Oreochromis niloticus: one gene and its partners. The protein of the gene in region 2 interacts with the protein of the main gene of each other region in a biochemical or structural test. Links are inferred from orthologs where the notes say so. Each region holds a gene or a part of one and is shown on either strand. Other genes may lie near its edges. The genes, in order: tamalin, rps6ka1, sntb1 and gopc.

The links.
Region 1: the proteins of rps6ka1 (region 2) and tamalin interact in a test that uses a peptide from one of them, tested with the Homo sapiens proteins (2 studies listed by BioGRID and IntAct). The link is inferred for Oreochromis niloticus from reciprocal best matches to the Homo sapiens genes RPS6KA1 and TAMALIN.
Region 3: the proteins of rps6ka1 (region 2) and sntb1 interact in a test that uses a peptide from one of them, tested with the Homo sapiens proteins (2 studies listed by BioGRID and IntAct, with this or other methods). The link is inferred for Oreochromis niloticus from reciprocal best matches to the Homo sapiens genes RPS6KA1 and SNTB1.
Region 4: the proteins of rps6ka1 (region 2) and gopc interact in a test that uses a peptide from one of them, tested with the Homo sapiens proteins (2 studies listed by BioGRID and IntAct, with this or other methods). The link is inferred for Oreochromis niloticus from reciprocal best matches to the Homo sapiens genes RPS6KA1 and GOPC.

The regions. Positions count from the first base shown.
Region 1 is NC_031984.2:9,491,402-9,499,070, reverse strand, and holds the start of tamalin (general receptor for phosphoinositides 1-associated scaffold protein), read right to left. Parts: upstream 3,008-7,669; 5' UTR 2,857-3,007; coding exon 2,662-2,856; intron 2,067-2,661; exon of another isoform or gene 1,197-2,066; intron 990-1,196; exon of another isoform or gene 855-989; coding exon of another isoform or gene 846-854; intron 734-845; coding exon 681-733; intron 1-680. Other genes in the region: dgkaa (diacylglycerol kinase, alpha a), read right to left, coding at 5,038-5,112, 5,221-5,281, 5,457-5,574, 7,574-7,669. UniProt on the Homo sapiens protein: Plays a role in intracellular trafficking and contributes to the macromolecular organization of group 1 metabotropic glutamate receptors (mGluRs) at synapses.
Region 2 is NC_031983.2:14,341,754-14,349,443, forward strand, and holds the start of rps6ka1 (ribosomal protein S6 kinase alpha-1), read left to right. Parts: upstream 1-4,682; 5' UTR 4,683-5,084; coding exon 5,085-5,252; intron 5,253-6,400; coding exon 6,401-6,517; intron 6,518-6,692; coding exon 6,693-6,774; intron 6,775-7,690. UniProt on the Homo sapiens protein: Serine/threonine-protein kinase that acts downstream of ERK (MAPK1/ERK2 and MAPK3/ERK1) signaling and mediates mitogenic and stress-induced activation of the transcription factors CREB1, ETV1/ER81 and NR4A1/NUR77, regulates translation through RPS6 and EIF4B phosphorylation, and mediates cellular proliferation, survival, and differentiation by modulating mTOR signaling and repressing pro-apoptotic function of BAD and DAPK1.
Region 3 is NC_031976.2:8,169,996-8,177,168, reverse strand, and holds the start of sntb1 (beta-1-syntrophin), read left to right. Parts: upstream 1-4,171; 5' UTR 4,172-4,918; coding exon 4,919-5,462; intron 5,463-7,173. UniProt on the Homo sapiens protein: Adapter protein that binds to and probably organizes the subcellular localization of a variety of membrane proteins. May link various receptors to the actin cytoskeleton and the dystrophin glycoprotein complex.
Region 4 is NC_031980.2:28,200,798-28,208,252, forward strand, and holds the start of gopc (Golgi-associated PDZ and coiled-coil motif-containing protein), read left to right. Parts: upstream 1-4,434; 5' UTR 4,435-4,715; coding exon 4,716-4,976; intron 4,977-7,455.

The DNA of each region.
Region 1 (7,669 bases), on a different chromosome or scaffold from region 2:
TCAATAAAGGTTGACAAACAGTGTGGAATTTTTTTTTCGACTTCTTAAGTTGCAGCAAGTCAGATAAAGTTAGAACCACAAGATCGAAGTGGGGGGAAGGAACCATGAAGTAGGCTGCCCAGAATGAGATAAATAAACTATGGTGCAAATCTATTCTAGCACAGTCCAATAATAAAAGTATGGGTTATGGTTTTAGAGGTTTTATAGCTCATTCGAACATAGCTTAATGATGTTTATTCTGACTCATCCATAAAACAGCCTTTTATGTACATCAAATACAAGAGGAAGGAGGAGTGAAAGTCAGCGAGAGGTTAATGTCTGTGTTTCTCTGCATCCTTAACTAAACTGCATAACAATGCAACTCCACTGGCTGCACAGGACTTCCTCTGTATGCAGGAGCATGCGGACGTCACATGCAGACGTACAGTAACAGTACAACGGCCTGTTGGAGTGAAGCTCAACGAGGCTCAATGAATATTTATAACCTCCCTTAACAATGGCTTTAATCAGCGATCCCCCTGTTTGAATGACTGCCATTCACTCTGATATGAGGCTGCTCGCCCTGAATCATTTTTCTGAGGAAGATGCCACCGTGAAAGAATTCATGTGAAGGCACAGTGAGAGGGAAAAAATAAAAAAGTCCAAAGAGAAATATCAGAGAAAGATGAGGGATGTTGTACCTTTGTGGTTCTGGCGTCTGCGTAAGGGGTTTCCACTTCTGTAAGCCGCCACCCTGCAAGGAGAAAACGAAACAAGATGTGAAGCATGTCACACACCTGCGTAGCTTCAAGTTTACTCACGAGGATTTCCCCCCTTCCCCCCGAGCATTTCCTAGGCACACCTACTGAGCACATCAGCGATCAGCAGCCAGTCCGTCCAGTCGTCTCGAATAATGAGCCAAGAGTGTTTTGGTATTCTTAAGCTATTTAACCAGCATGCCAGCATGGAGACATTGTTGACGAAACCAGAAATGCGTGACTGCTGCTCTGTCTACTCATTGCTCATGACATCAAAACAAGAGTTGCACGCATACCTACTACGCATAACAGCAAATTGGCCGCCTTCAGGCACAGGCTGTCAACCAATCTAAAAACTGGAGCGCTGTTTACAGCAAGTGCAGTCTATTAAAAGAAGCAAATAAGACAGAGAGGTGAGAACGGAGCACAATAACAGCATTGAGAGAAAAGCCAACTCACCAGCAGGAGCAGTTCAGGTCCCTGCCCCACCTAACTGTGTAAATAAGGCAGGTATCTGTCCAGAAGGCTCCACTAAAATCACTTGAATCAATCCACCTCTGTTCCAGCTCAATCATTTTCAAATCCCGCTCCAATGAAAGGCTGCTTTGTGCTACAGTCTCTCTGGGTAGTAAAATGTTGCTTTCTTTATGTCCCAACACTTACAGAATTGACCCAGAGGAGTCTCAATGAGTGCATTTATTCCCAAATACCCAGAGAGACCAACAGGGGTGGCTCGAGCAGGATCTCCATCCCCGAGTGTACACAATGCTGTGTTGTAACCCGTCGCTCTAGTGTATGTGTGTGGGTTTAACTGTGCCTCAGTCACAACAGGACACTGTGAAAGGAGTTTTTCCAACTCTGATGTGCTCTTCGGGCAGAAAACTCCAAAGCAAGTCGAGTAAGAGAATTCACTGAAATCAGCTTCATGAGAGGAAAATAAAAGTGACTGATGCAGTAGCCAAACAAATTTACAGTATAAACATCAAGCTTTACGCAACATGGACTAAAGGATGAGGGCTGTCTGAAACCATTCCTCAAATCCAGACTAATATGTAGGCCAGGGGTTAAAATCATTTCCCCTGAAATAAGAAGACTCGAGGCCAATTTATAACCAATCAGATCACAATCAGCCACAACATTCAAACCACGGCAGGTGATGTGAATAACAATGATCACACTGATCCTCATACTGACCCACCCCCACCTACCTGCCCCAAAGTCAACGGCTGTCCCTAACTGCAAAACGGCTCAGGGAAGGAAGGAGGAAGAAGACAAACATCCCGAAGGGAAAGATCCGGGCAGGTGATCTGCATACTATGACTGACTGCTGTAAGTTTTAAGCAAATAAGCACGTCCCTCCGAACTCTGTAGCGCATCCTGTAGCTCTGATGCAACTTACTGTTAAAATGACTACAGTGACAAACTTTCTATGAATCATCAAATGCAAATTTGCTTTTGTAACCTGTTACAACAAAAACTTATCAGTCATGCGTTTCAGAAAAATGTGTTTAATCTTAGAGATCACTTTCATCCAGATAAAGATTTTAAGGTATGATGATCATTTCAGGTATGAAGAACATGGGCGAAATCTGTTTCATACAGCATAAGATTCAGAGTCTGGGTGGGCACCCGTGCCCCGAGATGGGCTGCTATAAGATGTCCTGTGTGGCGCCGACCAGCCACTCACTGGATACAATAACTTGATAACCCTTTTAATAAGCTTACAGTCTCTGCTTAAATAATAAGTAATAAAAGGACTAATAGGAAACATACAGAAATTACTGTGTAAATGATTTTTGCCTTGTAAGTTGAAAAAGCACTGAATAAATTTAATAAAACTTTAATTAATGAGTGTACCTGCCAAAAAAGAAACTTTTGCAGGTACATTCAGCAAATAAACATTTAACAGGAACAGCAGCAATACCTTTTTGTAGTTTCTGGGCAGCGTCCCCCCCGAGTAAGCCAGGGTCTTGTAGTTGTAAACCTCCGAGGAGTTGCTCGGTGTGTCCATAGTCCTGCAGCTGTCCGACTTTGACGAAGGGAAATAAATGTCGTCTTGAGATGCGGGACCGCTCTCCGGTCCATTGGAGTTCACCTTCTTCAGCCTCCTGAACGTCATTGTTGTTGAAAATGAAAACTGAAAAAAGTAAAAATAACTTTCTTGTTGTCCTCCCACAGAGTCTGAAACCTGCCGAGGGAGATGCTGACCGAGTTTGGAGCTTCAGCGTGGAGCCAACTACAATTTCTCTTGTTTCCTTTGAATAGTTTGGAGGCGGGGACTGTTTTGAGAAACACAAATGACTGCCAATAGCGACAGGGACTTGCCTCCTCCGCGGTGCCTTCAAGTGCACCTCGGATCATTTCTGTTTCGCATTGAAACAACAGCAAACAGTGTTTACCAAGATACAAATAAATAAATGTCATTAGTTTCTTAGCTGATTGAAAGAAAATCGACCAGTAGCTAAAAAATGTAATCCAAAAATTCCAGACAAGAAGACAGAGTTTCCGCTTATTTACTTTTTATATGGTTGCAGACTAAATATTTTCACTATAGGGTCAACTGGTAGGACAAAACGATACTTCTGATTTTTAACAGACCAAAAATAGAATATCAGACAAAATTATCAGCTGAAATACCTCAGCTTCTTATACTAATTGGTAGCAGTTTGAATGTTAGATCACTTCAGCTTCCTTCTGTCTTTAGAAATCTTAATGACTCTTTTGCCAAAAGAGATTAAGCCTGCTGCAAATGAGTGCTGGATCTGAACCCAGGCAGCAGGACCATTTGGATGGATTTAAATCCTCTGATAAGGTGAAGCAGGAGGGTTTTCATTTATGTTTATTACCAGTGCATGCATTATGAATCAATCCAGTTCAATAAGTTGACTGATGATTTTCTATCCTTTTGTTAAAAGTTTAAAACGATTTTGCTTATTTTTCTTTAATAACATTGAAAAGCTGCTTTGAGTATTTGCTCATTCATCAATTGGGAATATTTCAAATGAGGGAGAAGCTGCAAAAAAGCAAATGTGCCTTGCAGAAATAATCTTGTGTAAATTTCATTAGAAACCTGGGGTCTTACATAATTTTCTGTGTGGCCGACTGTTTGCAGTACAGTTGTGTAAACCATTGTGACCACCAGCCATTGACAGAGTTTCCACAGGTGTGTCATCATGTTGTTAGTGCACACATTGCTGTGAAGGCAGCATTTGTTGCTTTCAAGCCAACCTTTAGTTGCAAATTTAGTGTTTTTATTACTTGTTAAAATTCAGCAGGGGGAAATCTGAACAGATTATAGATCCGTGACACTAAACAGATTAATCTCTAAGATAAAAAAAAAAAAAGTCTTTCACAGAGAGAGACTATGATGAGCGCATGACCCAGGACTAAAAAAAAGTTAACAATGCCCCCTTGTGGTATGTAAAAATTATCGAATTGTAAGAAGTACAAAACAAAAACTGAAGTCCAGATGATTTATTAAAATCTTTACACAGTTACTTATTACATCAACATCCTCCTGATATACTGGAATGATATGATTTATAAAGCATTTAAATAAAAATAAACATGTTTAAACATATCTTAACCAATAAGTTCGAATTGAACTCATCACAAATTACAAATTAAAATCAACATATCTCAGCTTTATGCCCTCACACTCATACACGCTCACTGATGCACACAAACACACGCACACACGGGAACAGGAGGAAGTGAATCAACATGCAGCCTCTTTACTATTCCCAATAACACTTTCAAGTATCTTCAACATCACTGAAATGTAGCTTTGTCTTTTCTTCTGTCTTGGTTCCAAATTCACACAAACATATTTCTGACTTTCTTTAAAACAACAACGAAACAGCAATACTACATGGTCTATGCTCAAAGTGCATGCCTGTATGTTCGTCTACCTAAGCCATAATGAAGAGAACAGCTAATAAAGGCACATGGAGCTGAATACTCTACTCTTCGCATGATATTCAGCTTGCTTTAAGTTTCTACCAAGCAGCACTTCCACTTAGCACTCACACAGCAAGTGTTGAGTATTGATAGAAAACACTGAGAAAATTTGGTCATTTTTGCCACAATGCAAACTTATCGTACCATAACATTTGTATTTGTATTATGCCATGCTTAGTTTATGTGTTACAGTAATGCAGAACTTTTGAAATAGTTATCCTAACTTTGACTGTCACAATGCAGTTTTTCTACAACATACACATCCAAACTGATTTTATGTTACAGAGAAAAAGAGTCAGTTGTCTATATACAGCAAACACGTGCATGTCGTCAGTCTGTTTCATTTGAAAAAGCCAGATGGTTTGGCCGGAGGACCCATCAACATACAGGCTTGATTCTTGTGTGTGATGTGAATCTGTAAATTAAAAAAAAATATATAAAATCAGGCATTTCAGGCATGTGACTTCATTGCATTGCTCTAATACTAAAGCAGCCTGTGTTTCTGTGCCTGTGCAGTGTTTACCGTGCAGGGAGGCTGCATCCACGGTTCTCCATCTATCTGCATTGGTAATGCCTTCTTTGTCCTACGTAGAGAGGGATAAACAGAATGCATCAGGAAGGTCATGTGTCATTAAAATGTAAATGTATCTTCTTATGTAAATTAGCTAACGATGATCCCTAACTACGACCCACTGTTGAAGCTGAAAGTCCAGCCTTGTCATGTCTGAACATGTCCGTGTGTCTTTTTTCCCCCCTCACCTGATGGTGATCTGAGAAGTTTTCGCGAGCCGCACCGCGCTCTTGAGTCCAGTGTAAATCTGGCCCATCTCCATGGCTCCTTCAAGGCCGACCACCTCTAATCGCCGATCACTGAGGTCTGACAAGAAAGCAGAGGCTAATCAGTCCAGAGAAGGAAGACAAGATTGGGCCTGAGGCAGATGCCACTTCTCATATTTAATCCGCATCAGAGTGGAGATCAATGACAGCAGTGGTTTGAGGCACACCAATGTATATGAATAATCATACATAATGTATAATCATCATGTACCTGCAAACAACTGCAGTTTACGTGCACTTATTTCTCTGTGCATACAATGGCGGGATGGTTGGACTCAGGTCTTGGCTGACAGCACAGAGATGAATAGTTAGGAGGAAACTGATTTGAGAAGCAAACCATAACTAACCACTAGTGCAGAGAACCTCAAGAAAAAAGAAAAAAAAAAAACAACATTTTTGCAGAAGCTGGTTTCTGCTTCTTAAGATTTCAGCTGAGATGTCAACAGCTTTCAGCCTGCATGCGTCATCGTTTCTGAGAAGTTGGCTAATGTTAACATGGTGCCATTCGAGCACTGAAGAGGCACGTGGAAACTAAGCATCCCTTCTGTGAGAAATTGGGCCTACTTCAAATGAATGCTGACCAGGGGCACCAAAACCCTTTTCTGTAGTGCATGAAATCTTCTGATAAGATAGTGGAGGAACTTTACAGTACAATCAAAAGAAGAACTAAGAACATGGAAGATGACACATAAACATTTTTTTTGCAGATAAGAATACAGATGCCTTGAAATTTTGGCTTGCTATTCTGGTGGCTCGGTATCATAAAGTTCAATAACCAGATTACACAAATAGCACCAGGTACTTGTTTGTTTGTATGTATGCACTAAAACCCTGCATTTAAGTGTTAATATTTTGGCCAGTCATAAAAAAGTTAAACACTTAAATGGACTATCGCTTTCAAAGAAAGAAGAGGGGCTGCTACAAATAAATAAGATAAATAGATATCATCTTTAAATGTGAATTCTGTAGTAAATATGTTTATAGTAAAAGCCAAGAATAAATATATGGAGATGGACAGAAGTACAGTATAGTACAGCATAGATGACCTTTAAGGGGTCAAAATCGTGTACACAGGGTTATGCTGCCCTCAAGTGGCCAGAAAATCAGTAACGCCACATTCAAAGTTAGACCAAACATCATCATATGGGTTCCAGTTTCATTGGACTGTTATTATAATTTGTGCAATTTAGAAACAGAGGAAGTTTGGTTGGAATAAATTTATTTTTTATTACACCCTCTAGTACTGTTGCTAGAACATCAACCCCCTGTCTGTTGGAGAAAATGTGGAAATTAAAATGCAAATGACTACCGTGTATTTTGGGATTGTCTGGTTATTTAAAACTATCAGAGAGAGATATATGTTGCCCGCAACACATTTTTAATTGTGAAATTCCTCTAGGAAGTAAGTTTATATACTCTGGATATATACTGGCAGAATGGATGAAGAGATAAGTACTTAATGCACTGCTGGTGGCTCGTAAAAAGACTCATAAAGGAGTTGGTGACAGGTTAAACTTTGTGAAAAGTCTAATGTGAGTCGATGAGTCAGTGAAGCTCACTTCTGTCCAATGACGCTGATGCTGACGTGAGTTTGAGGATAAGCTGAACTTTTCTATCAGTAAGTGCTGCTGATAACATTCACATACTGAATAAACTTCCATACGTTAAAGGAATGTAATCAAACTGTTTAACAAAGGGAAAATGTAATCTTTAGGACACTAAAGCAAACATAATGTTAGCTTATATCCGTCTGATGTTGGTTAGTTTTCGATGTTGCTGGTTGTCAGATGTTGCACGTCTAATTTGCCGACAAGAAATCGTTACAATATCAGAAATAAATAAACATATTATTGCACGTTTCTGTGTATTAGAGAAGTGATTTCAGGTGAGGAGATGAGGCTTGAGGTGAGGATGAATTTAGATAAACTTTATACTTGCTGCTAATTATATTTTCATTAATTTGTGTATTTCATTGTGTTCTCTCAGGACCACTGCTGTTAGATCAGACATCTGAGTAATACAGGTCAACTGCAAAATACCTTGGGAAGCCACTTTCAGGATTTCTGGATTGATGATCACCTCCGGCTCTTCCTGCGCCGTCAGTCCCTTAGTGTCCACTTTTTTGGTCTCACCCC
Region 2 (7,690 bases):
GTCCATTTTCCAACCTTCCTTCACCCTCTTCCCTTTTTTGTACCAGCCTGTCAGTCTCGGCTGTTAGCAGGTGTTGGTGGAGGTCATAGAGTACAAATGGGACATGGGAGAGGACAAAATGAAGGAGAGCAGACGGAGAGGCTTAAAAATGTGAAAAGGTGTGCTGAAGGAACAGCCTGTCCATCAAAGGTGTTAAATTGACTTTGAAAGGAACTAGTTGAATGATTTCCCTGCCCTCCAAAATATAGTCCCGTTCTTTGGTGCCCACCTTCAGATATTAAAGAGGAGAAGGAAGATACTTTGGCTGATTTAAAAACAGAGAGCCACTTTCTAGCCCGAGTTCATGATGTGATTGTCGGATACAAAACTCTTTTAGACCTCCTGCATTGAAATCCCGCATGAGTGCATATGCATAGTTACACTGTAGAGCTCTGAATATCTCACTTTAAACAGTGTTTATGCATTTCTTCTTTCTCAAAACATGCCAGGCTATTGAACATCTGTAATTTTCGTGCGAAACAGTTGACAAACAGAAAACCACTTTTAAAAGTGGTTAATAATTCATTTATTAATGATATGTAATTCTCTTCAAGGCTATGGGCATGAAAACCAGTAATTAGTATAAAACAGTTGGGATTTGATGAAAAGGGAGCCATCGTCATCGTTTCGTATCATTTATCATTTTCAACACAAAAGTGCTGCTTAGCACTTAGGCAAGAGCCCTTTTATGGAAAAATGTGGAAGGAAAAATGAGTTTTGTGTAATCATTTGTGAAACCCAATATATCTGTTTGCAAGTCATGGGAACTTGCTTATGAGGGTTAAAATTCGGGTCCAGGTGAAAGTCAGAACAGACAGTATGTGTCGCACTTAAGGGGCGTTTTAAGTGGTCATGATTTTAGATTGTGGCTTGAATTCTGATGGTTTAAGTCTTCCTCCTTAAATAAGCAATAAATGATGAAGCGAGAGCAAAAAAATGTCTTCTCATTAATGACCCATAGAGGGTTGTACACTAAGATTTGAACTGAATGATTAGTTAATCATGTGCAAGTGATGGGAATATTTGCCAATATTACTAAGACATGAGTTTTAAATGAAACTAGTTCTACATTCACATACATATTACTCAGCTTTAAGTACCAGTGTTTGACAATTTTTAGACATTTTATACATTAAAAGTTGATTTAATCTCAATCATAACTGATTATGCAGCTGCAGATTTAAATGAGGGTGCAACATTTCAGTACAGGGACTTTTATTAGACATTAATAAAAGTAGCCGTTCCTGCTTATAACCTTAAAGCATTTTTATTAGAAATGCCTAAAAATATGATCCATGCTGCCTACAGTCTCTTTTTGTCTTCTTATATAATCTCAGAATCTTTCGTCATTGTGAGGGTACCGCTGCAGTGTGTTTTTTTTTTTACTCCTCTGAGTGCGTTTGCTCTTGCAGGCAAAGTCTAGTGTGGGTATTTGTTTTTACAGATGAATGTTTAGACTGCTCTGTCTCCCTCTCTGGACCTTCCCGCTTTCACTCGTCATCCTCTGTCCGAGCAGTCGGAGCTGTCTTGCAGTTGAAAACGTACAGGTGCTTGCGCTTCATTTTCCAGGAAGGAGGAGAAGCTACAGTGCAAGACACAAACACTAAGAGAGCAACAGCCTAAATTAACTCCTTCTTCCAGGCTCAAGCACCATTTGACCAGTGACTTCTCTTTTCCTCTTGTCTCTTCCTCTTGTCTTATTTTTTGTAATGATTCTCTCCTCTGAACTTTGCCATCATTTCGAGCTTTGGTGCGTTGCTTTGACGCAAGACGTGACTGTTGTAGGGTTTAAACTGGTGTGACCTCTGCTGCTGTGAATGGACAGTGTTTGGACAGCACTCCAGCCTATCACCTCCCACATGTTTCCTTTCTGTCCCACTTTGTCTCCCTTACTGTAATTGGTGTCAGAGCCAACACTGGGATTTGGATGAGGCATGAGCTAACAATGTGAGCATGCCCTTACTTGGCTAAAGCTCCTTCTTATGACATCCTTCTTTGGAACACCTACCAGTGGACCGACTGCAGACCTGCACTGGCCCCTTGTGTTAATGAAAGGGCATTACACCATATCTATCTCTCACAGTCGATGCATCTGTTCTCTAGCAGTCTGAAAAGGTTATCAAATGTTGCATAAGCGGACTCAGAGAAGCATTTGTGTTAGCTCGTTTAAGCTTTGATTCAACCGAAGATTATCATGACTGTAGGATTCTCTTATTGTTAAACTTTTACTCTGCCCTTTTTCAGGCTTTGTTGGACTTTTAGTCAGATGATGTGTCAACGGAAATTGAAAACCTTGCATGATTGCTATCTTGAATCTCAAACTGAAGCAAAAGCATGAAGTCAGTTTCCCCACTTTTTGCCTAAAATGACACAGAAGATTCAAGTTCTTCTCATTGTCTCCATAAACCTGTCCTTGTAGCTGTTGTATAGACTTGTGATTCATTTTCCCATTGAGAAAGAGCTATTTCCTGCTTGAGTTGAGCCTTTTCCTTCTATGCTGTCCACAGCTAATCGGTCCCCTGCTCGTATGCATTTTTTATAACTTCACTTCCCATTTTGCTTAGCATACAGGAAGGTTGTATCTGTTGCGGTATTGCATACAGAGTTGTTGGCTAACTGACACAGAAGCAAGTGTCTAAGTGTGACTGTCACAGAGGTTCACTGACACCCAGTGACAGCATCAGTGACATGGAAGTATCTGGACACAGACATGTGGAGGTTCTTATTCCGCACCAAAAACCGCATCCCAGAGGCAAGTAGATGCTTTTATTTCATGTGTGCATGTTATAAACCTCTGCTTGTTGTGAAGTGGGCAGCTGCGTGTGAGTGTGGTTGGGTGAAGAATGTGCTGGGGACTTGCCGAAAGCTTTAGGGAGTGCTTGGCGTGTGTGTGTGTGTGTGTGTGTGTGTGCGCGCGCGCGCGCGCGAGTGTGTTGTGTGATATTTTGGGAGTGGATGAAGGGGTTTCCTCTGTGAGGGTGGATGTGAGAGTTTGCATCTTCCCAGCTGTGAAATGACAGGAAACAAAGGAGGATGTGAATGGAGGATCTTCCACCTCCTCCACCCTCAAAAATCATAAAAAATGTTATTTTTAATGCTGCTTCACGGAAGATCCTGCCTTTTCACTCAACCGGTGTAGCAAATTTAAAAGGTAGATACTCTGTTTTTCCGTCTTTGCGTTTTGGCAAAGTCATGGTATTAATGCAATCAAACTGAAACTGATCTGCAAAACCACAAAAAATGAGTGTGAGGCCATGAAGTGTGAATACTCTTTTCTTTTTAATTTTTTTAATCTCCCACACACCATGTGACTTACTTTCAAAAGACAGCTGTTCCTGAGTACTCTAGATTCCAGATAACACGAGAACCTTTATATATAGTTAGTCATAACACTGAATTTCAGCTTCTTCTCTGCAACAGCTGTCATGCTTGTAAACTCAGCTCTCCTGTGTAGTTGGTTATCTAGTTATCGAGCAGGAAGGATGTGAGATCAGTTCAAGAAAAGAGGAAGTGAGAAGTAGGAGGGAAGAGAAGTTTCCTGTCACTAATGTGGCCCTATTCTACCCTCTTCTGTGTGTGTGTGTGATTGTGTGTTAATGAGGTGTACCTGCAGCAAATCTGTATGAACAGGTACGAATGTACCTGTTGCAAAACCCGTCATGTTTTACGTAACTCATGTTAACTGCTCCATTCAAACACTTCCTAGAACGAGTCTCATATCTCCTGGATAGAGAGGGACTATGCCACTATTAGAGCCCAGGTAAGCTCTCACCACCTGTGTACTGTTGCTTTTAAATCGATTCATTCTGCAGCTCCTCCCTCGCTAAACAAACATTACTTCTGCATCCTGCTTCATCCATGTCAGATTGTATGTTCTTTTTCTTTTTTTTTCTCGTCTCCCCACCCTCTGGGAAATGTACTCTCTCATCACAAAATTGTTAAGCAAATAACCTTTTCTGAGCACAGGCTGCAGTGCAGGTTCGCTGCCAGCCAAGTAACGCTGCTCTTTGGTCAAGAGGAGTTGACTCATGCTCTATATACAGGCGCGTAATGGCTTATTCTCTCAGGTTAAAGAAGTATTTGCCGTATAAACAGCAATAAAGTGAGCAATGGAGGAAAGTAAGAGGATCTCAAGACCACTTTTCGAGCAGCGAGAGCTGTGTTAGGAGACAGGATGAGCAGGAACAGGACTGTTAAGAGGGGGAAGAGAGGAACATGCCTGGCCACAGACAGGAAAATCTCTGTCATCCAGAGGCAGTGAGTTGTCTGAATCCTCTCTGGTGTGTTGACACCGAGAGGGGACACATCATCCTCTCTCTGCCATCCTCCTCCACGCTGGCCTCTGTGTTGAATTATGGGTAAAGGGAAGTGGCACAGAGTTGGGTTCTTAAGTCTGTGAAATTACTGATAATACAAGCAAATAAAGCGTTGGGTTATTTTAATCACATTTATTCAGGAAAGCATTTAATCGGCATTTTCTTTTTTCCTTTTTCTTTATCTCTTTCTCTGTTTTGTGCGTCTTTTGAGTTTCAGTGTACTCCTGTTGCTCGCTTGCTCTCTCTCTTTTTCTCTCTCGCTCTCGCTCTCTCTCTCTTTCAGCCGCACACATGTGTGTGTGTGTGTGAGTGTGACAAGAAGTTGGGTGCAGGACTGTGAGAATACAGCAGGCTCTTCCTTCCTGCTCGCTTCGGTTCCAGTTCATTTCAGCTGCAGTCATTCACCGAAGGCACACCGGTCTAATCAGACAGACACAGAGGCAGGGAGAGAGCAAGGACCGGAGACAGAATGGAAGAGAACATGAAGATGAAGCACTGAAAGAAATGTAGCAGAAGGCCTCTGCAGTCGACAAAAGGGCAGAGGCTGAGAGACTTTTCTATATTTACCTGCAGTCCACACAACGAATCCTAACATGAAAGCACAAACGAGCCTAAAGTGTGCTCTCGGTGAGATGAGGTGAGATTTGAGATGATTATATGAGAGGTAGAAGAGTGTGTACCTTGTTATGGATGAAGGTAGGATGATACAACACTCTGGGAAATGCTGAGATGGAGAAGGACAAGAGAAAGTTCAACCTGACTCGCATGCTGTCCATCTACCTGTTCAAAAAGAACAAATCCTTGACTGGCAGCCCTGCTCACTGTAACACCTACAGACCCACGGCGGCAACGGACAAGGACACTGGCACTTTACCTCCACCGCGGAACCACTGGACGGTAAAGTGACACCTCCTGATATTGACATCTCGATCAACTTTGAGTAGTTAAGTCGTTGACAGGGCGTTCAGTGGCATCGTCTTAATGAAACTGAGTTTTAAGAAAATGAGGAGAAAAGAGGGATTCATCAGCACAGCAAAGTGCAAACGAGGTTTTGTATTCGCTCTTGTCGTGGTTGCTCAGAAAACAAGGTGCAACTGAAAGCCTGCTGTGTTCAGCCAACTCTGGTTTCCTGTTGTCAAATAAAGTCCCGGGCTGCAGTGGTCTGTGGTGATGGCGGTGGCTGTTGTTTTGTAGAAACTTTTAAAAAGCTGAAAGAAGAGACTGCTGAAAATATATATCTTTCGTCACTTCTTTGAAATATTGATTATGCAACGGTCAGCTGATTGCACTTTATTATTTTTTGTTTGCTTTTCAAATAAATTACCAAATGTAGCTTTATTCAGGATCCATGGTAATAGTGTAAACCTGAACATGCCTATAAAGGAGAAATTAGGAGCAGGACAGCCCGGATGTTCTGCTTTCTGATCCCTGAGATTTGGATTTCATAGGCAGAAGTGGGGAAAAAGTCTTTCCCCTGAAACTGCACTGGTGAGTCTAAAATTCTCCCAGCAGGGTACCTACTGTACTTTGCTTCATCACAGGGCCCGAGGTGTGAAATTAAAGGAAGATTATCAAGGGAGGGGAAAACTCTTCTCTGCATCGTTGTTGTTGTTGAGTTTTGGGTGAGGCTGACACCAGGTCAGCTGCGCGTGTTCATGTGGTGGAGCTGTGAGCGGTGCCAGCTGGGCTCCACCCAGTTGTAAGAGTGCGCTTGCTGTGAACTTGCTTTTACACAGATCTACTTCCACTGAACGTTTACACCACCAGTTCCAGTATGCTAAAAGCACATAAACGCATCGATAAGCAATTGTTTGTGCTCACATGCACATCTCACTTCTTACCATGCTTCCTCTTTTTTTGAAATGTTTTGAATTGATGTGATGCTATTTACAGCAGGAGGCACCTCCACAGGACAACTGTTATCTTTGCATAAGCAAGCGGCTTGTGACATTTTCTGAGGTTTTTTTGCAGCTGTGCAGCATTGCTGTCGTTCTGTGATCACTGACTGCTTTCCCTCCATCCGTTTTTTTTTTTTCACTCTTTAGGAAGATGGAGACATCAAAGAGATCAACATCACCCATGTGGTCAAGGAAGGCTCAGAGAAAGCTGATGCCTCTCAGTTTGAACTGCTCAAAGTCCTGGGACAGGGATCCTTTGGCAAGGTAATTCGCTTTTACTCTTTCGGTTTCTTTCTATTTTGACTGCATGTCTATTTTTCTCTTCCTCCTTTGCTACTCTTACTCCCCAACCTACAAAAATCGTTGCATCCTTAACAGTGTTTTTGGTGTTTGTTATGTTTTTGGGGGGAATTTAAAAAAAAAAAAATTTCTTTTGCAGGTGTTCCTGGTACGAAAGGTGACTCCTCCCGATGCCAACCAGCTCTATGCCATGAAGGTCCTTAAGAAGGCCACACTAAAAGGTACAGCAGCATCGGGCTTGGATGTGGTCGTGAAATTTTAATTGCTGCTTTTTTCTGTTTTGGCTTTTGGCTTCATTGACAGGAAAAAAACCCCCAAAGAAAAGTGAGTGAGGTTTTTTTTTGTTTTTTTTTTTTTTTTTTTGTAGAGCTGCACCTTTCACCTTTCCGGTAATGTTGATTTGAAAAGGCTTCGTGTTTGGCAACTTCATTTTTCAAGTGGTTGTTTAGTTTCATATAAAAGGGTGTATGAATTTCCTGTAACACAAAGACAGCTATGACATGCAGTGGTATGTGTGCATAGTAAGACCACCACTGCTTTCAGTGGGTTCCTATGAACAGGTGCTGTGGTCTCACCTTCTGCAAACATCGGGGCATCAGATTTCTTCTCATCGTCTCCCAAAATCATGTGGGTGGTTCTGTGCAGCCTTGCAAATTTAACGGGGACCTTTTACTCTCATTTAAAGCTCCGCGTTTTTATTCTTTAACAGCTTTTCATGACTCACAGGTCAAATTCATCATTACTCGCCTTATTCTGGGTGCAGCTCCTAAGGTCACCCTCTGTCTGAAAATCGCTATTTTACATTCCTTCCCTTTTGCTTGAAGTCAGCTTTCTTCTGATTGGCTGCCCATGGTGAACAGAAGTTTTTAAGCAGCAGCTGAGTTAATCTACTGTGCTCAGAGTCGCAGTTGCATGCACAAAATCCCCAAATTTAGGTCATCATTAACATTCAGCACTGACCCCATTATTTAAAAGTTTGGCTATGCTTTAATTTGAGGATCCTCTCCTATTGCAGCCTAATGAGTCCAAGTTGAATTGTACTCTCATCAGTACCAGCATTTGGTGTGTTGTAGTACATTTACCATACTCTGTGCTTATGTACAGTATGCAGTATGACACAGTATGCATTCAAGATTT
Region 3 (7,173 bases), on a different chromosome or scaffold from region 2:
CTGTCGGACTAATAAGGTTTAACATCAAGTTACTGTGTATCAACACATAAACAACACTGAAGTGATATTACTGAATGGCCACACAAAATGTTAGAAATCTGAATTTACAGTTATTTTTTCATTGACTTACTATATTAACATAACTGATCTGAAATCACACAAAAAACATAAAATCCTTTGTTGTTTTTTACTGTAAAAAACACAGACATGTTTAGTAAATTATTTTCATAACTTGAAATGCAAATATAAATTTTAAATTTTGAAAACCTATGCACAAATTTTGTAAACAATAATGTTATATACAACTATTTATCTAAAAATGCAGCCAATGCACCTGGCAGTTTGATTTTTTGTATAACCATTTAAAAATACTGCTATAACGAAAATGAGAGAACAATCAGGTGTCACAATAAGATGACCCACAAATTATTTGTGCCAGTAAAAAAAATTGTTTGTCCGCCACAAGACAGAGGAGACACCGATAAACCCTGCAGGCCTGACAACGGGTGTATCACTCCACCTGGAGACAGTGTTTACATTACAATCTGCCTTTGTCACATTCATTAGTGCCCTCACTGACACACAAAACAAAACAGCGAATACACAGCACACTAACTATACACTCCACGCTAAACGTCACAAATCTCCCACATCTCAAAACTCGCTGTCGATATCGCTCTCTATCTTTGGTTCATGTTGTCATTTTTTTTATTGGTTAAAATCGTACATTTTTCCACCAGTAGGAAAGAGGTGGCTTTTTTTCCTTTCTTTACTGTTTTCGCGCTGTCCTTAGAAAATGCTTTTTAAAAAACAAAACAAAACAAAACAAAAAAACAAACACTTCTTCTGCACTAAACATATGTATTTTTTTTAATCATAACTCTAGATTTAGTGGCCTGCTATTAAAATTTAAAAACTGGTGTATACTTTGAAGTCCGAACTTTCAACACAAGCTTAAATAGAGACTCAGCGTGGCTGCAGCTTGTTGCTGTATCAGCTTAAATCAGTCAGGTGTGTCCTGGACCTCAGAGGGTTAATAAAACTCACCTTCATTCCATTTTCAAAGTGTGACAACCAACCACCTGTGTGAAATCTGAAATGCCCGTGGTGTTGATTCAAAATGTGCTCTGGCACAATCATAGGCATGGGTTGCTACTGTAAACAAGAAATAAATCCGGTTGGCATATGGGCTGAACCATTTGTTAATGGTGGAGGGGGGTTAACACTATGTAATATATTCAGTTTTATAATTTATATTTAGTGTTAATAATAGCTAGGTTCAAAGTGTTAATGCTGTCTTATTTTAATAAACAACTCTGTCATATGTAAAACTTGGGCTGTAATAGGGGCGGCAAAAAATCATTTTAGGGTGGCGCATGCCACCCCATGCCACCATTCTAGATTCGCCCCTGCCCCAGATCTGCGAGAAGATCCCCCAAGACACCAACTGTGTATCGTTAGGAGCCCTGACATCATCAGGTATGCACACATGCATGTGGGGGCCATACAAACTAACATCTTGAGTTACTGGACTACTGGTAATGGACTAGCCTGCTGCATCATTTTCCCCCCTTTGATTTGGTTGATAATTTTCATATCCGCCAAACAATGTGGCATCATTTCATTCCTAACACATTACTCAGTTGATATGAGTACAGATATCCAGCATGATTTTTCTTTCCCATTGAGATCTCAAGTGTTCATTTAATTCATTTGAGAAGCATATTTTACAAAATCCTGATCGTTTTTTTCTTGGTCTATGAAGAGCGTGTCCTCATTCTGTTTGCAACAAGCACAAAGATGTATGTGCCACCAAGCAATGGTCATTTCCACCATGTTTTCCCCCTGTATACACTGTATATTGGAAAACTGACATGTCAGTCTTAAAGCAGCAAACTTAAAAAGGTTCTCTCATTGTACTCGATTCTCATTCCAGTTAAAACTAATAGATAAAAAGTGTATTGGTGAGGCAATATGATGACTATACATGTTTCTAAAAAGCTGAGGTAGGGCCATGTCTCTCACTGAGTCGCATCAGCTCTATAAGCTTTTTGAAAATTGACAGTGAAAGGTTTTGCTCAACAGTTAAGTGCCTCATTTGTTGTATGTTTCATTTCATAATGCACCAAATATATTAGTTTTTCCTGCTTGGCACCCAGACTGCAGGGCTCTGATTATACATGCAGAATGTGGTTTGGCATTGTCTTACTGAATTAAGCAAGGTCTTCCCCTGGAAAAAGATCTCTGGAAAAAAGCATTTGTCCCTCCAAAACTTGTATATATCATTCGGCATTAATGGTGCAGTTACAGAGCAAGTTATTCATGTGCATTAATGCCCTCCACTTCATCATAGATGCAGCTTTTTAGACTGTGGGCTGCCTTTTAAACTTATGGACTGATAGCAAGCTGGATGGTCGTCTCTTGTGATTTCCTAAAAGATATTTTCACATTTTATTCATCATATCACCAAACAGTTATCTCCCTTGCGTAGCTGTGGCTTTCAGAAGTGTCTCTGAGCCCTTGAAATGGTTTCCTCTATAGAATTACATGTATTAATAGGCCATACACAACAGCCATTCAATAAAATTTAGAAAATGTATCATCTCCAAATTCTTTTCACTTTTTTGTTGAAAAAAATGCTTTATTTATTTATAGGATTATGCATCTTTCCTGGTCTTTAGCTTCCTATTTTTCAACTTGTCAGCTGAAACATGTTGCAGCTGACAAGTTTTTTTAAACACAGCATCCATGCTTTTAGGGTAAAATAGGCCTAGTAGGGAGGATTAGCCTAGTAAAACTAGAGATGGATGTTGAAGAAAAGCTGAAGAGAGATGGGGAAAAAGATAAACCAGAGTGAGCTTTACGAATTAGTGTGTGTGTTTTCCCCCCTTGGTGCCATTGGTGGCCCTGAAGGAATAAATTATTCAATAAAAAGTCAAATAATAATAATAATAATAATAAAAAACAAAGCTCAAAACAAGATCGGGCCACACGTGCGTCACGTAAGTCTTCATCTGACTGCTTCCCCCTCTTAATTATTGCCAGAAAGCCAGTTCACAGACCCACAACACAGAACATGTGTGTTTGTGTGTAACCACACCTCTGTGCAGCTGCTCTCTGGTGCACTGAAAACAAAATGTGCAATCAAGTCGCCGGGCGAGGAGGGATATAAAAAAGATTTATTAACACCTTTAAGTACCATCACCTTTAAAAAGATAGCACTCTCTCTCTCTGTTTCTTTGTTTGTTTTGAAGGTCATTATCACAACAAAGATTGTACATTTCACGTGACAGCTCATTTCCATATAAAAGTAAAAATCGCTTGTAGCTCCTACACCTCATTAAACTAAAAATATTCTTTGTATTTCTGTTGCAGTCTCTTGTTCACAATAAACAAGTTAATCATGTCTTTGGTGCAGCTCAGTAGTAATGATCTGACATAGTTTTGAGGGCAGGCTTGTAGGGAAGCTTGTCTCCCACGCTGTACTATATATTTCCATAACTGAACAACTTTTAATGACACATTTTAACTTAATCCCACACACAAACTAATTGTGCACATATGGCACAAAACAGAGGTAAAATACTCTATATTAGCAGTCTGCAGCCAAGTCATACATTCACTAAATCACTAAAGAAGCTCTAGTATTTAGTATTTAAAGGCGTCACCGGTAGGTGTCGTAGCAACATTTCTAATAGTTTAGTGTGACACTGTGGTCTACTTCACCACGTTTCAGCACTTGAGCAGCTGTGAGTAAGATCCACAGCCAGACAGCTGCGGAGCTAAAGACGTTTACATTAAACATTTTCTTGTTCTCAGTATTCCAGCTTTTACTGAGATGCAGTCAGGAGCTGGTGATGAGATGAAACTGATTTTGTCTCAGCCTCACTGTCAGTCACTCACTAGACTTGAACACAGGGGTTAAGCCTGTGAAGAAAGGTCCGCCTGACCAGCGATACTCCGAGAAGCTCCGGTCACTATGCTGACATCTCCAGCTGCGCTCTCAAGGTCTAAGCTGACTGACTTTTTTTTTCAGCTTTCTGGATCGCGCATGATTGACAGGGCGTAAGGACGTCCTTTAGAATAATAGTAGACAAAACAAAGCCTTAGAGGGAGGCCTTCCCTGACAGAGCTTCAGAGAAAAACGTGCTCCCTCTCTTCTTTCGTTCTTCGAAACAACCCGCACAGACGCATTCCTGTACGCGCGTAAAACCTTCTCACTTCACCCACGGAAAAACGGGCTTTCGTAGAAGAATGGGACCCACTAGACACTTGGAAGACTGGAAATTAGTTCTAGTCATATAGCCTATTTGATTCTTCTTCTAATTAATATTATTTAAATATGTCTTTAAAAATCTACCGCCGTGGGAAAAAAAATGCCAATTTTCCGTGACTTCAGTTCCATCTTACCCAAGAGCGCACAAAACAAAAAATATTCTACTCCACAAATTACATTTTATTTTCCTGCCAGTGTAAAAGATTCGTAAAGCCAACTCTAACATGACAGTAGTGTAGGCACACATCATGGTAGTCTTGTCGGTTTGATGTAGCTGGAATGGATGAAAAGTGAATTTTTGCCTAATCTTCGCGGTGTTTGTTTACCTCTGCACTGGTTAGCGTGTTTTACAAGAAGTTGGGAAATGATGTACACATTTTGTACAAGCGGGATCTGGAGATGGGATCGGCTGACGGCGGGGGGAGGAAAACTCCACCCAGCAGATAGGATCTTGGGCAGGCAGAGCGGAGGGGGAGTTTGCGCTGAAAGAGCTCGGGCTGGTCGGACGGGACGCTCGATATAAGTCCTGCAGAAAACTTCAGAGGGGGCAAAGTCCAGCCCGGGCGAGAAGAAGATAGGGTGGAACTTGCGAGCGCGCTGGGAACTAAACCACATGTGATTTTTTACAGAAATGCTCCAAAGATGGCGGTGGTAGTAGCGACTGGAGTTCCGATTGGCTCTGGAGTGCAAAAAAGTGGATTTGTAGAGGTTTTGGTGCGAGAGCAGTGGCACAAAGTTTTGGTCAACTTGAACGAGGAAGCGCTCACGTTAAGCTGTGAGAGCAACGTTAACGAGAGTGTCGATGACAATGTCAACTCTAACGGCGTTACCAACGGATCTTACCATGACAACAGTAATACCAACTCCAACAATGGCCCCCAAACTGTGCGCACCGCGTTCACGGACCTCCCGGACCGGGTACCCGAGGCGATCGCCAACAAAAAGCGGTGCGTCAAGGTGACCAAGCAGGAAGTCGGGGGACTCGGGATTAGCATCAAAGGAGGGAAGGAGAATAAGATGCCCATCCTCATAAGTAAAATATTCAAGGGGCTCGCAGCGGACCAGACCCAGTCTCTGTATGTGGGGGACGCGATCCTGTCCGTGAACGGTATGAACCTGCGGGACGCGACCCACGACGAGGCTGTGCAGGCGCTGAAACGAGCCGGGAAAGAGGTGACTCTGGAAGGTAAGGCATACTGGAGAGGAGGCATGTGAGAGGATAAAAGAAATAGAGGAACACCTGAAAGAGAGGTAGAGGTCGGGGAACCTCCCATTGATTGAGTAGATTACGGGTTGTTTTTTGGAAGCCTCTGTGAATGTTCGTGCAAGTACAGATTTTATTTAGTGAAGGAGTGAAAAGCGTACCCCGACGGTAAGAGCTGAGTGTAACATATCCCACAACAGTTTGTGTGTCAGTTTCTCAAATGTTGCGTAATATTTTTGGGATGCCCATAAACTCACATAAAGACGTGAGGAGATCAGTGCTCCTTCACTGAATGACACCTGTAATGTCGGAAGAACCTCTGGCTCCACATGGTTGCCTTTTTAGACTTGGGTTTTGGGTCGATCAGGTCCAATAGACACGTTTTTTATTTTCTACTTTCCAGTTAATTACAGTCACTTGTCACTCACTTATTGCAGCAATAGAATGTGAAGGAAAAAAGAAAAGAAAAGGGAAAAACACAGCTTCCACTTTGACCTCTGCTGTAGGATGTAATTTATTTTACATTAAAGAAGAGAGGTGCTGGTTGTTATACCCGGGAAAGTAAATATTATTCCAGCAGCTGATATTAATTCACCCTGTTTATATCAAATTAGATTGCAGTCATCCGAGTCTTGAACAACACTGGCATTTGGTGCTGTTTTATTACATAATTTGGAAACAGGTTACAGACTGATTGCTTTTTGCAGAAAAGAATAATTGAGATTAAGGAAATAGGTATTATGCAACTAGATGTGCCATGGGACAATCATGCAACATCAAACTCATATCTTTTCCCTTCCTCTGGCCTTTTTTGCTTCCTCAAATGTGCAGCCTGTTCATTTTTTTTACAGTTGCTTTCAGCTAAAAGATCAAGATTAGGCTGTGGGTAGCCACACTGAGAAAGGTGAAGACACACACACACACATGCACACACATTCCTTTATACAGGAAACTGTTGCACATAAGTGCCTACTTCTCAGTTCTTTAATTCCTGTCCCTAAGAGGACTCTTGGACCCAAGACAATAAGAACAAAGTGTCACTCTCTCACTCTCACTCTCTCTCTCTCTCCCTCTCTCTCTCCCTCTCTCCCATGCACACGTGCACACGACTCTCTCTCATCTCAGATACACAAACACGGTGATCACCCTCCTCATGGGGACATGCTGGTCCCAGCTGAAAATTGTATCACGATCTGAAAGAAGGGCAGAGGAGATTGGAGCAGAGGAAGGTGAAGAGAGAGAAAAATGAGGGGTATAAGAGCATTTAATGGGAGACTGAGTGGATGAGAGACTGAAACAGAAGGACAGTTAACAAGAGATTTAAAGAGGCTGAAATAAAGATTACTGTGAGGGTTAGTATTTTCACAGTAACTGCTATTTAAGAGAGATAATTTGCACGTGAGAAATTGGGTAACACATGAAGGTGTTGCACAACAAAATGGCATCAATTAGTCAAATGTAAAGTAAAATCGAATGAATAGTGATATGTCAAACCTAAATATCAGCACCATTTTATTTTATTCTTGAGTGGGAGCCACCTTGAAAAGATTTGAGAGAGGCAGACTGTATCGTATAAGAAAAGGGATCAAGAGGAAACATCTGATGTATCTTTTAGGAGATCGTACCTGTCCCGTGGGAATAGAGTGTGTTAGTGCATTTTGTCTGCAAATGTGCAAAAGATTTGTACGTGGAT
Region 4 (7,455 bases), on a different chromosome or scaffold from region 2:
TATTCTGTGCTCCCTCTGTTTCCGTGTCTAATCATCTCTGCCTCTGTGTTCCCTCTGTTCCAGTGTAGTTAGGTCTCTGAGTAAAGCCCACGTCTCTGAGTCTGTGTCTTTGTGTGTGTGTGTTGAGTTTCCTGTTTTATTGTGAAGGGTGTGTCTTATGTTAGTGTCTGGTTTTGCTTCCCCTTGTCTCATCAGCTCTGATTTCTCCCAGCTGTGTTTCTCTCCTGTCTCCTATTCCCTGATTACTCCACTGTGTATATAAGCCCTGTGTTTCCTTCTGCTTGTTGCTGGTTTGTCTATGCTTTCATTCTTCATGTACTGCCACTCTCTGTCTCCTTGTGTTCAGGTTTGTTGTTTAATTCTTAGATTTTCCCAATTTAGGTTATTTCTCAGTTCAGTTCTCGCCACCCTCGCCTTTTGTTGTATGTCCCTCTCCACAATAAAGCTCACTCACATGAGCAGTGCCTGCATCTTGGGTCCTCACTCATAACCCCACACTTCTGCCGTTGCAGCCGTGACATATTATTTCCCATTCTGTTTGTTTTTATCTCCTTCAACATCGTTCAACTTAGGAAGACCATTCAGGGACCATTAGATTCTTCTTCTTTTGAACATATGTGCTTGTATTTTTTTTCAGCAATTCATTGCATGGTTTTTATGAAATTCCAAAAAAGTGCACCAACCAAGGCCACTCTGGAGCCCTACCACTCGGCCTAACTTTCATCAAACTTTATATGAGTCACAAGACTTTTATCCGGTAATTCTGTGCTTTTGATCTTTTTTTTTCTTTTTTCTTCCACAGGAACAGTTTAGGTTTCATGAAGAATTTAATTTTTCATGGAATTTTCCCAACACTGCATGATGATATCATCAGCTGTAAAAACTGAGGCTGGAGAATAATCTGAACAAAATGTCTTTTTCCTTCTTTCACGCCCAGACCTTTGCCCTAAATGTATAATATATACATCAAAATGTAGCTTATCAATGTCCTCTTTCATCCAGTGTCACTCTCATTGAGATGGGATTTATTACCTCCCTCCTGCCACTCCATCACACCACCACACATGCAGGGCCTTGAGGTACAGGTATGTCACTGTGGTGCAGGGGAGGTATTCCCCTCCCCTCCTGGTCACCTGTGCCTTAATTTTATTCCATAACTTAGACACATTATTTACACTCTGGCCTTGGGGGTGGGCACACTTGAACTGTGTGCAGAGAACGGTCTGTTTATTTAGCCTCACCTCTGGTGCCTGTGCTCACTTCTCAATTTTAAATTGCATGTAGACATTTAGGGTGTTGGGAGAGGCTGAGCTGTCACCAGCTGTTATCTGGCTGAAGGTTGTTGGCGCCATGCTCCTCCCCTGTTTTAAATGCACTTTAGAACAGCATGCATCAACACAACATATGAGAGGACCGTTTGAGGCATGGGGTCTTCTCACATCCATGTTGTCTGTTCATCATCTGGGGCGGGGACTCTGTGCTCTAGCATAGCCAGCTGCTGGTGGAGCCTGTGGGCTTATCCCTACGCCCCCCTGGGGCTTTTGCACCGTAGCTGCTGGGTGAACCCCGTCTGGGGCTCTCCTCACGTCTTTTCTCGGTGGGTGGTGTGACTTCCCCTGCGGTGGTCCTCCTGGGGCTCTCGTGCTCTGGGGTGCCTATAGATGTCTTGGGCCCGGGTCTCCTCCATGCCTGCTTCATGTCCTGGGGTGGCCGGAACAAGGTGTCCAAACAAATGCACACAATCTTGGTTGGCTGCTGCCTCTAAACATGTGATGTGTCATTAATACTGTGTGTGCTCAATAACATTAAATATTTAATATTTACTGTTACTTATGCATATGATGGTTGTTGTTAAGGTTTCCCTGCTGTTGTTTTTTGCATGTTTTTTTTAAATTTTATTTCAGCAGGTGGTCAAGATTTTCAGTGCCCTCTCTCTTCTTCTGTTAACTTTCTCCCCATCTTCTCTTTCCTTTTGTTCATTCTGATTGTAATAAATAAAAAAAAAAATCCTAATACAAATCTAACAAAATATGACTTTCAAGTGGACCAGTATAGCAATGGTCCAATTGGGGAAATAAATGTGCATTTTGTTTGGCCTTTGGACAATAAATCTGTTTAGTTCAACTATATTGCAACCTGCCACATTAAGGTTGTATGCAGTTTCCACTGCAGATGCTTCCAGAGGACTAGATCACTACGAGTGAGTCCTGGGTGCTCATGATCCTGTTGCCTCTTCAGTAGGTGCCATTTCTTGGACTATTTTTTGTAGGTACTCATCACTGCATACGGATGAACAAGGTGCCTCAATCAGTCAGTATCTTTTTCGGAATTCTGACTTGGGAGATGACCTGAAACGGTGCCCGTGCAACAGTTTTAGTTGCAGAAATGCTGGCCAGTGGCAATGCTTCAGGATATTGTCTTGTGGTTCACCACTTGGCATTCTGGGCAGGATGCTCGTCACTGGCGCACATCCCCTCAATGGTCAGAGTTTTATATCCCATGAAAGGATATTTTCACTAGGTGCAGAAGTGGATCAGTGAAATCACCACACATGAGAGCACACATCATCCTCAGCACATTTCCATTTGTTTTCCAATTTTCAAGTAGGGTTATGCTTTGAAGCTAACTGCACAAGTTGAATGACCCCTTAGTTTCAACTAGAGGTGCTTCCTAAAATCTGCCCTGCCTCTGTCGTGCTGGTTACTACAACTGGTACAGAAGGACTGAATTATTATTAACCAAACAAAAGTACTCATAATAAATAAAACTAAATAATAGTTCCACATTTTCCAGCACTGTGTCTAATTAACCCTGATTAGCCTTGGTGTGTCTGTGAGTATAAATGCCTTTTCTCTCTGTGTTCTCTATCACATCAAAACTCACGGATTATTTGATCTCCACTTGTCGGGTGCAGTCTGCAGCGATGGGAAAAGTGAGGCTTTGTGAAACACTGAAACACTCAAAGCATTTGTGCCGGAGTTGTATTGAGGCTTCGAAACAACCCGAAACCTTTGTCCATGGTGACATCTGCTGGCCAATTTCACTACACCAGTACACTATAGTGACACAGACAAGCTCTGCACAGTTCCAAACAAAGCTACCTATTATATGAGACTGTTAATAATTATGATCAACACATATTTTGGAGGCCAGAAACATATTGGGACTGTTAAAGAAGGCACTCTGTGACTAGTGATCAGTGTACTTCAGCAAAATTCTCTCTCTTTTAATATTGCTCTCAGTTACTTAATTTACAAAGTAAATTAAATCATTTGAGAAAAGACTGCTGTGTTTATTGGAATAACCACACAGGTTTCCAGCTGTTGTGAGATCAGTGTGCTTTGTTTTTGGTTGGTTTTTGATTGATTTTGAAGCTTTCCAGGTGTTCGTGTCAGCTTCGTGCTAGAAACTGGCACTGCACTAGGTTTTAATTTCAATTAATTAAAATCTATAATATTTAAATAAAAAAGACAGAATTCCTTATTTATAAAAAGGTCAAATTTGTCACATTTTCATAGGCTAATTCTGACCAATCATAACAGACCATTTCACACAGGTTGACCAGAACATTTTTAAATCATCCTCTGCTGAGCAACCTCTGAACCATGAAGAAACTTTACTTTATACTGCTGTGGATGCTGTATCTTATAACACTGGCATGATGTTTTACTGGGTCATAGTGAAACTGCATTACTCCTGCTCTTTATGAGATTATTACAGCAGAAGCGTCAGTGGGAATGAAAAAGGGATCACCTGTATTTAATGGATGTTTTTCTAACATTTCTTTTAACAGTATAAATATATTCTTTATGGCGTTATATGAGTACTGTGTTATAGTGATAATAAAGTAACTTATTGCAGCAAATAAAGTTTTCTGTTGAAAGGGATTCAGAGCTGAAAATTCCTGCTGTTTTATTTTCTCATTGAAAGTAGAGAGGAGGTTTTTATTGAGATATTCAGCAGTGAGTTTATGCCACAGATTACACTTTAGATTCCAGTGTTTGAGTGCTTGGATAATCCATATTGGGCTTCACAATCCACGACAAAAACATTACTGAGAGAGAGGGTGTTGGTTAGTGAATCCTGGTGCCCGGTGTACGCCACCTGTCGAAACTGGCCTTGGTTTTTCTAACACCTGCGCTTCAGAAGCTTCCCATCCCTACGAGCAATACAGCATAATGCTTTTTGTGCACATCCTCATCAGTTACTTAGTGAGCCAGAACTACACAACACGTGTTACTTGAACACTACACAGTAAATCATTACACTTGCAAATGTCACGAAAGCCCCGAGATTAGTAAAATTATATTGTTCATAAATAATGTTATTTATTTATTTTTACAAAATTTCTCGCATTAGAAGACTTTAATTGTGAAAGTAAGAACAGGAACAAGCTCTGCGTAAACATGTCGTATTTCCGGTACGACGTAGACAGACAGTTCCCGTAGAACACCCACAGGGCACAGTTCCACAGTAGCGGAAGGAGTAGCCGTAGCTCTCCTGTACGCCGCTTTCTGCGTAGTGGCTGCTTGGATGAAATCGTGAATCTGATGTGGGACTTCCTGGTTAGGCATTGCTTTCGGGAATTTTAAGTCTACGGACCAATACAGTGTTCATCACATTACAGCGTTATTTTAACGGTGTTGGCAGAGATTAATTTGTCATCGTTTTTTAAGTTAGCACAAAGCTAACATCAGCGTTACCTTGCTCTAACCATGTCTGCTTCGACTGGATGCTCCCCATCGGGCCAGCACTCGGGCCTTGTCCCCAGTATGTCCATGTTTCGATGGCTAGAAGTGCTGGAGAAGGAATTTGATAAGGCTTTCGTGGATGTGGATCTGTTGCTTGGAGAAATAGATCCAGATCAAGTGGATATAACGTATGAGGGTCGGCAGAAGATGACCAGCCTCAGCTCCTGTTTCGCTCAGCTCTGTCATAAAACCCAGACTGTCTTCCAGCTCAACCATAAACTAGAGGTTAGTATTTCTTCTAAGAAGAGCGGTTATGTTAGGAATCAGGTTTCTTGTTAATGAAATGATCACGCCGACTCCACTCAAGATTCAGCAGAGTGACTAATGCCACAGAGCAGCACTGGTGTTTTCAGGGCTTCAGTCACTCCTGTGTTTTGGTGTCCTCCCTGTGCTTCTCAGGTTTTATATCCATCTGTGGCACCGACCTGTAAACTGTGATCACATAGGTTAGGGCAGGGGTCTGCAACCTTTTACACCCAAAGAGCCACTTGGACCCGGTTTCCACACAAAAGAAAACACTGGGAGCCGCAAATACTTTTTGACATCTAAAATGAAGATAACACTGTATATATTGTTTTTTTCCTTTGTGTGAACAAGGTAAGGTGAGGTGAGGTAAAGTGTGCTGCTTATGAAATCCACGAAGTGCTACAGAGAAAATTACATTTTATTTATGTAATCAACACATTTTGAACTCTTAAAGAAATATAACAAAAGCAAAGACACCCAGCTGAACTAAAATGATCCATGTAGCAAACAAAAACTGTTGTGAGCCGCCTCCCTTATATCTCCTTTGGGCTGTTGGAGCCTTGACCTGACTTTTAAAAAATAATTGGTAAAAAAGCTCTATGCTGCTGAAAAATTAAAAATAGATATTTGCAAAATTCTGCCTAAATATGTATTTTACCTGGTTAATGCGTGCGGCGGGGGCGTGGTCTGCAGCGCCGCTGCAGGGGAGGCGGACGCACCTGAGCGGCACCCGCAATCACGTTTACACAGGACTGTAAGCTGTCATCTGTGGTCTGTGAGGCGTGAGCAGTGTTTGTCTTTAACATAGTTCACGGTGGAGCTGCTGACATAATGTGGATCCGAAGATCCATAATTGGCCTACCTGGGGTTGAAAGTCTCGATAAATGCACGGTGTTTCGGCGGGAATACCAGCTTCCGCGAGTGTGACGCTTATATTGAGTGAGGAAAAAATAATAGAATATAATTTTATATTTATATTTCAATATCACAATAATCTTCCAATTTAGAACTACAAATTTAAAAGAACTAACATAAATAAAATACACTTCAGCGAAATACTTCTAATTTATTTTCCCAAACCACGCGGAGCCGCACTATAAGGACTAAAGAGCCGCATGCGGCTCCGGAGCCGCGGGTTGCCGACCCCTGGGTTAGGGTATCCACAGCAGCCTTCGTTTGGTCATTGAAACCAACATAGGTGTTAGCATACTTCACATTCACTTGTCTTCTAGATACAGAACATGTTCTCAGGTGTCTTTAACCGCTTTATTAAATATCCTTTATAATTATGTACCACTAACGTTTTTTTTTAAATAAATAAATTAATTAATTTCAGCATTTTTCGATGATTACGTCATGGCCTTAAAAATGACAATGATTTTCTTTTCTTTAGATGTTATCGGGATTATGTTATGTAATGTCTCGTTTGTTTTCTCGAGTGCCCTTCATTTTTTCTGTAAATGTTAACATAAAACTAAAAACAGTATCACTGTCATTCACTTATCCGTATTGTGTCTCTAATTAATATTATTATAATAATTCAGTGTTTTTGCTTTAAGAACACGACCTGTCATTACTAATTAGACAAATCAAAAATGCTCTCACTATAAAGACATGATTAAAAGCCTGAGACATTTTCTGAACAATACAAACCTAAATGTTCATTAAAAATTGTGTTGCTTTCAGCTAATCGAAACCATAAGAGCAACAGGCTAATCCGCTCCAACACACATTATTGTTTAGGCCGTTCAAAGCTTCCATACATTTCGACAAAGTTGTCAGACTCGGTCTGTAAGTCGGCAGGCCCCAGGCTTATTTTCAATGAGAGGGGCTTTAAAGACTAAGTCAGCACCTGAACTCCTTGGCATTTCCTCAACAATGTTTGCTGTGTAATTAGGGTGTATTGTCATGTCCAAAGAAGCTTTGCCATCTGTGAATATTGTCATTATGGGCTGTATCGGTGTGTAACAATGTTTAAATAGGTGATACAGGCCCGAGTGACATCTGCATGAACTGATGGGTTTTCCTGCTTAGAGATAACCCTGCTTCTTCCAGCTTAGCTTGTTATCATAGTGATTCATCCTGCCACCTGTTAAACCTGTTAAACAATGCACATACACTGTGCCATCCATCTATCAGATGGAGCAAACCCTCTGCCCTAGACTTTGAACCTTGTTACCAAATGTTTTCCAGTGTTGGAACAGAAGTGGATCATAGAGGGGTCAGGACAGATGCACTGAGAAAAATGACTGAACATGACTTATTTTTTGTCAAAAATTTTGTGATTGTACAGTTTTGTTAGCTCAGCGTTAGGGCTGGGTATCATCACTGATTCCTAGAATTGATTCGATTCCGATTCACAAGGTCCACATTCGATCCACGATTTCAATTCGATTCGGGTAACTTATCGGGGAAATTTTTCCTCAGAAATATTATAATTCTGATCATTTATCAGTAC